Linked DNA regions of Danio rerio. The protein of the gene in region 1 purifies or fractionates together with the protein of each later gene. This does not show direct contact. Links are inferred from orthologs where the notes say so. Each region holds a gene or a part of one and is shown in the gene's direction. Other genes may lie near its edges.

Region 1 (3,656 bases):
TGAACTCCTGCTACTTTTTTTTTTTCTCCCCATTACATATCAGATTGGAAATATATTTATTTTTAACAGGAAAGAAACATTTTTTTTAAATAATGCAAATGTGATAAAGTCACAAGTGTCTCATGGGTATTTAATAATGTGTAGCCTTATTATAGGCGCCTGCCGCGTCTTCCTCTCTTCAAAAACTATATTGCTCAGACAACTGTATTTCCTCTGAGCAAAAAAATATTAATATTATTATTATATTTAAATTGCCTTTCTTTCTTTAACTAAACAGAATGCTGTAATTGGTCAAGCGCGGAAACGTCAGTTTTGTAATAACCCGCACTAAACTGAGCGGACTGTAGTGTAACGTTATATCTGTCATAGATCAAAAATGAGTGGACAAGTGGATTTAGCAAACGCGACAGAAAGAGGAGAGGAGGCATCTTTATTGAGGCATTTTCCATACACACCTTCTTTAAACAGACCCGTGATCAGGAGAATGAGGGTACAGAAGAAGACGTTATGGTAACTTTAAATGATGAGTAGCTAGCATTAACCAGGCGAAGGAGGCTAACGGCAGCGCAGCGCGGACTGGATTCATCGTGTGAGAGACAGACAGAAAAGGAGAGAGAGAGAGAGAGAGAGAGAGAGAGAGAGAGAGAGAGAGGCCCAGAAGAGGAGAGAGACGGGAGAGAAGAGGTATAGTGTGTGTGATTTTGGATACTTTTAGGTTTATAATCAAGTCTTCATCACGAGAAGAGTAGAGAAAATGCAGGGAGAGGAGGAGAGAGACAGTAAACCAGTGTTTGTATTATGAAAGACTCAGATTCATAGAACTCAGATTCATAGAACTGGATTGGAGAAGCATTGTGTGTTATATGTCATGGCAATAATATGCTTTATAAGTTTGTAAAAGCAATACATTAAAATACCCTTAAAAAAAAAAAAAAAAAAAAAAATATATATATATATATATATATATATATATATATATATATATATAATGTATATGTATGTATATATATGTGTATATATATATATATGTGTGTGTATATATATGTATATATATGTATATATGTGTGTGTGTGTGTGTGTATATATATATATATAGTTTTATTAGTATTTTTATTTAATGCTTTGAAAAATCATTTAAATCTTTGTAGACTATAAATGCATATGTACTATATGTCATTTATTTAAATATGTGGGCAACAAATTATAGATTCATTTCATTTAAAAATTATTATATTATTCTTATTTTTTTAATTCAACTATAGGGGTGCGGCCAGGTAGGGGGCCTTACAAGATAATGTGCCCAGGGGCCCCTGAGTTCTTAATCCGGGCCTGGTTGAACCCAATTATCATGTTCTGAACTGTGGTGATGATCAACTATAATTCCAGCGTGACATTGCTGATCTTGCGATGTGACTATTGCAGATTTACACCCTGCAACATCAATGCTGTAACCATATATTGTGCAAAGCTGATTTATAAATCTCAGTTTCCCAAAAAGTGATTACCCCATGACTGGTTTTGTGCTCATCAATGTTTGTTTAAACAGGATTCGGAGCTTCTGCTGCTCTTGATAACGGCTCGTCTGATCAGAACGGATTTCCCAAAAACAAACAGCTGCGAGCCGCTCACCAGCAGCTGGACAGAAACCTGGGTGAGAAACACAAGAGCAGCTTCTCTCATACCTCCATCCAAGGAGTCCGGATGTGACAGTGTGTGTTTGTGTCCTCCAGATGAGATGTCTCTGGGTCTGGGCCGGCTGAAGAATCTGGGTCTGGGCCTGCAGACGGAGATCGATGAGCAGGACATTTCTCTGGACGCTCTGCTTAATAAAGCCGACACCATGGACGGGAAGATCAGCTCCACCAACCGGCAGCTCAAAAGCCTTAAATAGACTCAGGGGGTGATGTCACTTCCTGGAGGCGTGGCCAAGGTGATCATAATTGAAAACATGTGCGCTCGTAAAACATTTCTCAAGTTCTCTCCAAGATAAGGAGGAGTGTGTTGGACAGAGAAAATTAAAACAAAACAAGAGACTTAAGGAAGAACACATGATGGTGTGAGAAAAAAACATTATAGTAACAATGATGATAAATTGTTGTCTTTTTTTTATGCAAATATTGATTATTGAAGGAACAGTTCACCCAAAACAAAGCATTCACTCACTATTTACTCTCCCTCAAGCGTTTCAAAACCTTTACGAGTTTTTTTCTTCCATTGAACACTAAAGAAGATGTTTTGAAGAATGCTGAAAACCGGTAACCATTGACTTCCATAGTAGTAAAAACAAATGCTATGGAAGTCAATGGTTACCGTTTTCTTAGCATTCTTTAAAATATCTAATTTGAAAAGAATGAAAATCATAAAGGTTTGAAACGAGTAAAGGGAAAGTAAATGATGACCGAATTTTTATTTTTGGGTGAACTGTCCCTTTAAGAGAATATATGGTTGTTTCTACTGGAAAGCAAGACAAAAAATGAGTGGGAGATTAGAAAATCATTACTCACTAATTTACTCAAATTGTAAATATACTGGTTTAGGGTTACACTGTTTATAAGCTTTGAGTTAAAAATGTTCCCTGTAAAAAAAATTAAAGCAAAGTTTGTCAGACATGCACACCACAATCACTGCAATCCTTAAAGGGACAGTTCACCCCAAAATAAAATTCTGTCGTCATTTACTGGTGTCTTTCTTCTGGTCAACACAAAAGAAGATACACTGAAGAATGCTGAAGAAAACAGCCATTGGCTTCCATAGTATGGATGTTAATGTCTGTTTTTCCTCCCCAACATTCTTCACAATATCTTCTTTTGTGTTCAGCAGAAGAAAGAAATTATTAAGCGTTTGGAACTTGCGTGTGAGTGTTTATGCTATGTTTTTTTCTGCTAGTATGGTCCTGGTAATTTTCACATTCAATCCATCTCAGCATTGCACTGTGCCATTGTATTTCCCCCTGTGCTCAGATTTTATGTTTGTTAAAGTTATAGTTCACCCTGAAATTTAATTTTACTGACCCTCAAGTGTTTCCAAACCTTTGAATTCCTTTCTTCTGTTGAACACTAAAAGAAGATATTTTGAGTAATGCTGAAAACCGGTAACCATTGACTTCCATAGAAATCAAAACGGATACTATGGAAGTCAATGGTTACCAGTTTTCAGCATTCTTCAAAATATATTTTTTAATGTTTATCAAAAGAATGAAAATCATAAAGTTTTAAAACAAGGGTGAGTAAATGATGACCGAATTTTAATTTTTGTGTGAACTGTCCCTTTAAGAGAGTACACGGTTATTTCTACTGGAAAGCGAGACAGAAATACAGAGTGGGAAATTGAGTTTTGCCTTTATTAGTCATAGTACGTTACTCGAATTTTAAATAAGCTGGTTTAGGGATGAACTGTTTATAAGCTTTGAGTTAAACATGCTACCTGTAGAAAACTAAAATACAGTGTGTCAGACATGCACACCACAATCACTGCACTCCTTAAAGAGACAGTTCACTCCAAAATAAAATTGTCATCATTTACTGGTGTCTTTCTTCTGTTAAACACAAAGGAAGAAACACTGACGAATGCTGAAAAGATAACAGCCATTGGCTTCCATAGTATTGTTTAGATTCTACTATGGATGTTAATGTCTGTTTTCCCTCCTCAACATTCTT
Region 2 (4,185 bases), on another chromosome or scaffold:
ATGTTTAAATAAATAATAAATAAAAAATACCGGTGGCACCATAATACACACAATGGTATCAGATTGTAGCTCATTCATTCATACATTTTCATTCATTTTTCTTCAGCTTAGTCACTTTATTAATCAGTGGTCACCACAGAGGAATGAACCACCAACTTATCCAGCATATGTTTTGGAACAGCTGTTGGCATTAGAGCTGCAACCCAGTACTGGGAACCCTCCATACACACTCATTCACACACATTCATTCATTTTCTTTTTGGCTTAGTCCCTTTATTAATCTGTGGTCGCCACAGCGACTGAATCACCAACTTTTCCAGCATATGTTTTACACAGCGGATGCATTTCCAGCTGCAACCCAGTACTGGGAAACATCCATACAATCTTACATTCACACACATACACTACAAACAATTTAGTTTATGAAATTCACCTAGCGCATGCCTTTGGACTTGTGGGGGAAACCGGAGTACCCGGAGGAAACCCACACGGCATGGAGAACATGTAAACTGCACACAGAAATGTCAACTGGCCCAGCAGGGACTCGAACCAGTGACCTTCTTGCTGTGAGGCAACAGAGCTAACCACTGAGCCACCATGTCGCCTGTTACATTTTTATGTTACTATACAATTATTGTACACATACGTAAAAGGCTACACACACATATATAAATGTTAGGAGGACTATATGTATGTGTGCTTTTACAATAGTTCAAAATATCTAAGATCTGAAAACATGGATTTTATTTTTTATTTACTGTGAATTTTCTGTGAATAATAATATTCTTATTTTATGTTAATTTTGGTGGCAAATCAAAAGGTAATCATTTTGAAGTCGGTGTATAATGATTCAGTTAAATTTAATTTTGAGGACGTAGGTTCAATATTTTAGTATGTTATAAATTCCTTTATTCATTTTCCTTCGACTTAGTCCCCTTATTTATTAGAGGTCACCACAGTGGAATGAACCACCAACTATACCAGCATATGTTTAACGCATAAACTATAAATTAGCTTTCAATTACGTAAACATTTACATATAGTAGATTTATTATAATAATAATGGTAAGCTACTTTACATAATATTGCCTGGATGATGAATAGACAGAATGCTGACTACCAACATATATTTAAAGCATTATCTAAATTAAACTAATATCTCGTAAGTATATTTTATATTTAGGCATTTTGCATATTAGTGGCAACGCTTTGTTCTTTTACTTCAACAAACCAAAACAACCCGTGCTGCTGTTTATCTGCCCAGGCGCGTGCGTGTGTCTAGACGCTCGAGGACCCGGATGTGATTCCGCCGGGCAATGGCGGCTGAGCGGATCCGGGCTCTGTCCCGCATGTAAACAACACGTAAAGCGCTCTCCTTTGTCCAAGTAAAGCTAAACCAGCCGCGGTCAGGAGCATGAGATTATCGCACCCCACTCATCGACTCATCTGAGCAGCAAAATGTCGATGGAAGATCCGTTTTTCGTGGTGAAAGGGTGAGTTTCAGGGCTTAGATCGGAGACTAGGGGCGAATATAAGATGTCGAATTAGACACTTTCAGGAATCAGATTGGAGTAACGTTAATTATTTTAAACTTTACGTACATTAGCTATTTGACTTGTCCTACGTTGATACTCGGCACCATTTAAAGCAGCTGTTTCGGTAAGATCGTTATCGTGTTGTCATGGCAACCATAATTATCGATTTTTTTCTCAAACGCTTCATAGCGTTAATCGATATTTGTGTCGTCTTCCCTTTAAAGTGGTATTGTTTTGGGTTGCCAGACATCTGCGTTTTGCTATAAGTTAGGATTTACAAATATGTAACGTTACCATGTTTGTCACTTTTTGGGGATACATATTATGGTATGCTTTTGGATAGTAACGTAATAGCATAGTTTTTTCCATGTCAGACATCCAAAAGCATTGCATTATCATAGTAAAACCTTTCAATTCAGTTCATCTTTTATTTCTATAGCGCTTTTACAATCTAGATTGTGTCAAAGCAGCTTCACATAGAAGATTATAGTAAATTGAAACAGTGTCAGCTTATTTTTGTGTTGAAGTTCAGTTTAGTTCAGTCCATTCAGTTCAGTGTGGTTTAATTTTTACTGCTGAGAGTTTAAACACTGAAAAGCAAATCCATCGATGCGCAGCTCCACTGCTCCCAAACCATGCAAGCCAGTGGCAAGGGAAAAAAACTTCACCAATTGGCGAAAGTGAAGAATTAAAAAAACTTGAGCGAAACCAGGCTCAGTTGAGCACGACCGTTTCTCCTGTGGCCAAACGTCTTGTGCAGAACTGCAGTCTAGGCGCTGTAATAAAGTGCGTGCATAATTATTGTTTAATTGTACCGATTTCACACTTCTTAAGTGTTGATTGTATGATATTGGAAAAATCTAACATTGCGATATTTAGTTATTCTGCGATATAATTATCTGATTCAGATGATTCTGCAGAAAAGTGCATCTGCAATAATTATAATAAACTATCCACAAGCATAGATCAAACAATAAAAAAAGATAAATAAACAGTGTTTTATCATTTTTACGTCTAACGTTAACTTACAAATGGTAAAATTTTTTATGCCTCTGGTTTTAAAATCCTACTGTCCAAAAAAACATGAAAATGATAGATTATACTACAGACTCAACATTGCACAACCTGCGATGTGACTATTGCGAATGACTACATTGCGATATTGATGCTGAAACGATATATTGTGCAGCCCTAGTATTGATATTGTGTATAATCATTAATAAGTTACGTGTAATTTTTTAACAAGCACTGGGGGTGTAAGATAATTATATTTAGATGTGCATATTTATGAAGCAGGTTTATTTTGACATGTCAAAACGAAGGGACCAAAAGGAGGTGTAACATTGGGGAGGAAAAAAAAAAAAAAAAATATATATATATATATATATATATATATATATATATATATATATATATATATATATATATATATATATATGTATGTATGTATGTATGTATGTATATATATATATATATATATATATATATATATATATATATATATATATATATATATATATATATATATATATATATTTTCCCAATGTTACACCTCCTTTTTGGGCCCTTCGTTTTGTATATATATTAAACGACCAAAAGAAGATCACAGCATTAATAAACCTGTAAAATTAAGGTATTACTATTGAACGACAAATACTAACTAGGGCAGGAGGAAGACAGATACATAAGCTGTCCTTAAAAGAAATCAGTATTGTATAACACTTCAGCTATTGGTTTTTATAAAGTGGGGATTTATATTATTGGGGGTTATCTATTGTAGTTTCTCATCAAATATTCTGACCAATCAAATACTCTCTAGTGTCTGACATACCCACCCCCCTCAAGATGCTTTTCATTTGCTTTATCCATTGATGCATCTTTTTTGAGATCAACCACTCTCACTGGCAGAGCTGTGATTAAAAACGAAACACTCTTGGATGTTTTTTATAAAGGAGAGGGGCTACTCTATGTCCCACCCTGTCTTCATGAATTTTATTTCAGATTACAACGAAGAAATCAAATTCAAAATGCTAATTTTAAAGCACTTCACAGCACCTTTAATTTATCACATTTTTTATAGGATCGCATCCATTATTTTTGACTTTTTAGTGAGAGTTGCATCTTTTTTATGGGCTATTTTCCTGCTTAATGATTATACACATCAGACAGTCTATTAATTTTCAATTTAATAATAATTATTCTAAATAATAATACTAATAACACTTATTAATAATAAATTACAAGTAAAATATTTTAGTATTTGGCTAAGAACGATGTATTTGAGAACTGGTCAAATTCTCTTTGGAAAAAAACAATTATGATCATATGTTTATAATTTTCATAATTATCTGCACACTCTGTAGTATTCTTGTCTACATTGTAGTAGGTCAATTAACCTTGAGGCTTAATTGAATGTATTTGTCTTAGAGAGGTGCAGAAGGCTGTAAACACAGCTCAAGGTCTTCATCAGAGATGGATAGAGCTGCTACAGGACGCGGGTGGAGCCAGCAAGGAGGAAGTGGACTGGACCACCAACGAATTACGAAACAGTTTGAGGTCCATTGAATGGGACTTGGAGGACTTGGATGAGACTATCAATATCCTTTTAGCTTAGTCGTCATTGTTTGGTCTTGATGCTGTTTATATGTTG
Region 3 (4,269 bases), on another chromosome or scaffold:
AATTCCAGTGACTCGCAATCCAAACAGTACAACATACAAACAGTGCACACAAAAAATAAATAATTAAATATATATATATATATATATATATATATATATATATATATATATATATATATATATATATGTGTGTGTGTGTGTGTGTGTGTGTGTGTGTGTGTGTGTAAGTGTGTGTGTGTGAGTGTGTGTGTGTGTATGTATATATATGTATGTATGTATGTATGTGTGTGTGTGTGTGTGTGTGTGTGTGTGTGTGTGTGTGTGTGTGTGTGTGTGTGTGTGTGTGTGTGTGTGTGTGTGTGTGTGTGTGTGTGTGTGTGTGTATCAGGCCCGGATTGGCTAATCGGGAGGACCGGGAGAATTCCCGGTGGGCCGGTGCGTTTTTTGGCCGCGAGGGCCGGTGTCCCTAGCTCTAGAATCTGTTGCTCTCAGCAGTCACACTTTTTAAATTAATTTATTTACTTACTTGACTACAGTCTTCTTATTCATCATTTTACCGCAGCTCTGCTCTTTTTATATATGACCAGCCTGCAGGTTAATGACGATATTAGTCAGATGAGTCAGTCCTTCATATACAACTGTTGTGGTCCAGTGGTTAGCACGTTAGATTATGACGCTAACTTTCAGTAACTCGCAGCGACATATATAATATATATATATTTATATATATATAAATAATTTTTTTTGTCAATATTTAATTTACTATTAATCTCACTTAATGACAACGGTGAGCACACTGTTTGCAGCACAAGACTATTCTTGGTTTAATTTTGGGGATCGTCCTCTATGTGTAGTCGTGGCCTTTATTTTTTATGTACACGCGTGCCGTAAAGGTGTCAGAGTTTAACATTGTGCCATTAATCTAGTGTAATAACCCCAGGGGTTGGAATCCAATGGGAAAAGAATTGAAAGGCTGATGGCTTTTTATTTGCATGCTGTTATTTTATTTAACTATTAAATACCATGTTTATCTTCTGTAAGTTATGGATAAAATATGGCTATTCTAATAGTTTAATAACATATATTAAAGAGAAATCACCAAGCAACCCACCCTCATTGTCTCACAAACCCCAATTTGGGAACCACATAGCTATACTACTAGTAGCCTACATAAATGTTTATGTGAAGTATGCTTAAGATATATCAATATTAACTAACTATACTTAATAAAAAGGAACGTGAAGTATACTTCTTTTTAGTAAGGTTAGGCTACTTATTACCCATGTGGAAACCAAGTTAAAGTCTACTTTATTTTTGTTATGTAGGCTAGTTTTTTTTTTTTTTTACTTTTTTAATTGGGGTAAGTTAATAATAATAGACATCTGCCTAGTATTTGTCGATCTAAACATATAGTACATAAACTCAATAGTTTAGTATATGCGTCAAGTACATTACTAATCTACTACATGTTTCTGAACGCACACGGAAGATAGAACAGAAGTCACGTGACCCGCGCGTCAAAGAAATCAGCTGAGGGCTCGGAGTTTCACTCAGGAAATCCAGGTAAACCGAACAACCAAAGTACATATTAAAGTAAACGATGCGTATTTATAAACTGTACATGTGTGCAGACTTTACGTAAATAGTTGTTGAGGGTAGTTTAAAAGAGAAGTCAGTAAAGTAGCAAGCGCAAAGTTCATTCACTGAAGCATATTTGTTGACAGCGCGATTTGTGTTCACTTGACATGAAACTACACTGTAAGATTCCCGAATGTTAATGTTTGTTGTGTGTCAGCAAAGTTAAAACAATAGCTGTCTAGTTTTATAAATGAAAATGCGTGTTTGTGAGTTTGTGAGCCGTGATTTCCGCATTCTTTCGTTTTGCAGGTGCAGCGCAGATCGGTTTTACTAGTCATCTGTTTAGTACTAGCCTGCTAACCAATAAACAACATTACGCCAGCTATTTTCGAGTAATTATTGAGCTAATAAGGCATATTTCAAAGCAAGGTGAGCAACTATATGGGGCAAGTTTTCTCGTTAATTCAAAATGACAACAGTAATATCATTAAGGGAGATTCTAAAACGCATGAAATAAGCTTAATAATTGAGGTTAAGTTGATTTTATACTATAGACTTTATCCTTAATAATATAATTTTGGCTAAGAACTGCACATTCTGATTAGGGACATCATATTAGCATCTAATGACTTTCAAAGTACACGCTGCTCTCAGTCAATTAAATAATGCTAATGTTTAGGTCATACTTACATGTGATTTCAGACTTCATATATAAAGTAGCATGGTAAACAATATAGGGAGTGTATCACAAGTTGTCACTGAAAGAATGTGCGAATATAAAACCAACTTTGCCTCAATAGCTTAATATACCTAAACATCAACCAGAGAAGCCCACATTTCGATCAAACTTTACTTGTAATTAACCCGAACTACTGTTAAGACAGAGTCCCAATTCCATAAGTGAAAAATATCACGCTAAGCGTTTTCTCCACTATTGAAGTCTATTATAAGTAAAAGCTTAATGTGGCTTAATGTACCTCAACAACAAGTGGGGGGAACCAAATTTCTATCAAATTTTACTTGTGGTTAGCACTAACTATATAGCAAAAAAATTAAAAATTTGCCCCATTTCCACAGCTTAAGTGAACAGCGTTTTTCCCTATGTTGTTGTGGGGATGTCAATGACATGCACAAGTGCATTCTTTTGACAGCAAAGGGTTAATCTATAATAAATTAAGTTAGATTTTTTGAACAGCTTTTTTATAATTTGGTTTCCCTCTGTTTTTAAGTCAAGCTTTCCTTATTAAGGACTTCAACGGGGAAGAAAACACTTAACGTGATATTGTTAACTTTATCTGTGGAATTAAGGCCCATTCTTTTAAAAATAGTTTGTCTTAATCACAAGTAAAGAAATTTGGGTTTCCCTGGTCTGGGTTAAGATATGTTAAGCCACGTTAAGCTGATTCCTTATAATGCGCTTCTGTGAGGAGAATGCTGAAAGTGATATTGCTCACTTGATACACTAAAATAAAAGCTTGTTCTTTTACAGCAGTAAGTGTTTTTCATGAATATATATCTATAGAAATTTGATTGTCTCTAGATGTTAAGTTAAACCACATTAAGCTGTTATAATGGACTGAAATGGGGATAAAATGCTTAACAACATTGTCCGCTTTATCTACAGACTAAGGGCTTGATCTTTTGATAGTAGTTAGTGTTAATCACAAGTATTCGATAGATTTTTGGTGTACCCCACTTGTTGAGGTATACATTAAGCCATGTTAAGCGTTTTCCTTTTATAATGGACTCAGTGGGGAGAATTGCATACCGTGATAATTTTTACCCACTAAAATAAGAGCTCATTCTTTTGACATCAGAAAGTGTTTGTAACTTTTATAGAAATTTGGTTTCTCCCACTTGCTGTTAAGGTACATTAAGCCACGTTAAGCTTTATCCTTATAATAGACTCCAATGGGGGAGTAAACGCCTAACATGATGTTTTTCAATTTATCTGCTTAATTGGGACTCATTCTTTTTACAGTAATTAGGGTTAATTACAAGTACAGTTTGACAGAAATTTGGGGTTTTCTGGTTGATGTTTAGTTACATTAAGCCCCGCTTTCTTCATGTTAAGCATTTTTGAATGTCCCCATTAATATAATTAAGAAACGCATACAAAATAGTGAGCAATTGTTTTGGTCTCCAAATAGTACAGTACGTTTTAAGGGTAACTTAAAGTTGGTTTATATTCACACATTCAGACTTTCTCCTTAATATAATTTCAGAAAACTATTCTTTACTAATACTAAATAGTCAAATCATATTCCCAGCAAATGACAATTAAAGTACAGCATTGTTCATGGTCAATTAAATAGTGCTAATGTTGTTTTGGAGGCATATGATTCAGACCGAATATTTAAAGTAGTAAACAATATAGGAAACATGTCACAAGTTGTCCCTAAATGAATGTGGGAATATTAAACATTAATAAGTATGTATAGTTTGTGTAAAACATGTTTACAACTCGTGAAAGTCTGTCACTACTTGACATTTATTAAAAACGTCGCAAATCCAGCATTTCAGTTCATACATGTTAATATACAAACTATTCTGTAGCATGTAGGATCAAATATAATGATAGTTGAATGTTATTGAAGGAAGAAATTGATAAGCCATATGTAAAAACACGTTCAAATAGTATGTTTTAGGAGCAATGTATATAAGAAAACATGTTTATGAATAAATTGTATAAGCTTGTTATTATGTAGCGCAGTATAAGAGATAATTGTGCGATTGTAGGCCTGCAAATAA

What was found.
Region 2: the proteins of snap29 (region 1) and stx6 purify together in Homo sapiens (co-immunoprecipitation; 3 studies listed by BioGRID and IntAct, counting the BioPlex papers as one, with this or other methods). This does not show direct contact. The link is inferred for Danio rerio from reciprocal best matches to the Homo sapiens genes SNAP29 and STX6.
Region 3: the proteins of snap29 (region 1) and stx7l purify together in Homo sapiens (affinity purification with mass spectrometry; 3 studies listed by BioGRID and IntAct, counting the BioPlex papers as one, with this or other methods). This does not show direct contact. The link is inferred for Danio rerio from reciprocal best matches to the Homo sapiens genes SNAP29 and STX7.

The regions. Positions count from the first base shown.
Region 1 is NC_133183.1:3,069,619-3,073,274, forward strand, and holds part of snap29 (synaptosomal-associated protein 29), read left to right. Parts: intron 1-1,546; coding exon 1,547-1,651; intron 1,652-1,730; coding exon 1,731-1,891; 3' UTR 1,892-1,930; exon of another isoform or gene 1,931-3,656. UniProt on the Homo sapiens protein: SNAREs, soluble N-ethylmaleimide-sensitive factor-attachment protein receptors, are essential proteins for fusion of cellular membranes.
Region 2 is NC_133197.1:16,196,072-16,200,256, reverse strand, and holds the start of stx6 (syntaxin-6), read left to right. Parts: upstream 1-1,311; 5' UTR 1,312-1,458; coding exon 1,459-1,493; intron 1,494-3,962; coding exon 3,963-4,132; intron 4,133-4,185. UniProt on the Homo sapiens protein: SNARE promoting movement of transport vesicles to target membranes. Targets endosomes to the trans-Golgi network, and may therefore function in retrograde trafficking.
Region 3 is NC_133195.1:49,559,240-49,563,508, forward strand, and holds the start of stx7l (syntaxin-7), read left to right. Parts: upstream 1-1,454; 5' UTR 1,455-1,503; intron 1,504-4,269. UniProt on the Homo sapiens protein: May be involved in protein trafficking from the plasma membrane to the early endosome (EE) as well as in homotypic fusion of endocytic organelles. Mediates the endocytic trafficking from early endosomes to late endosomes and lysosomes.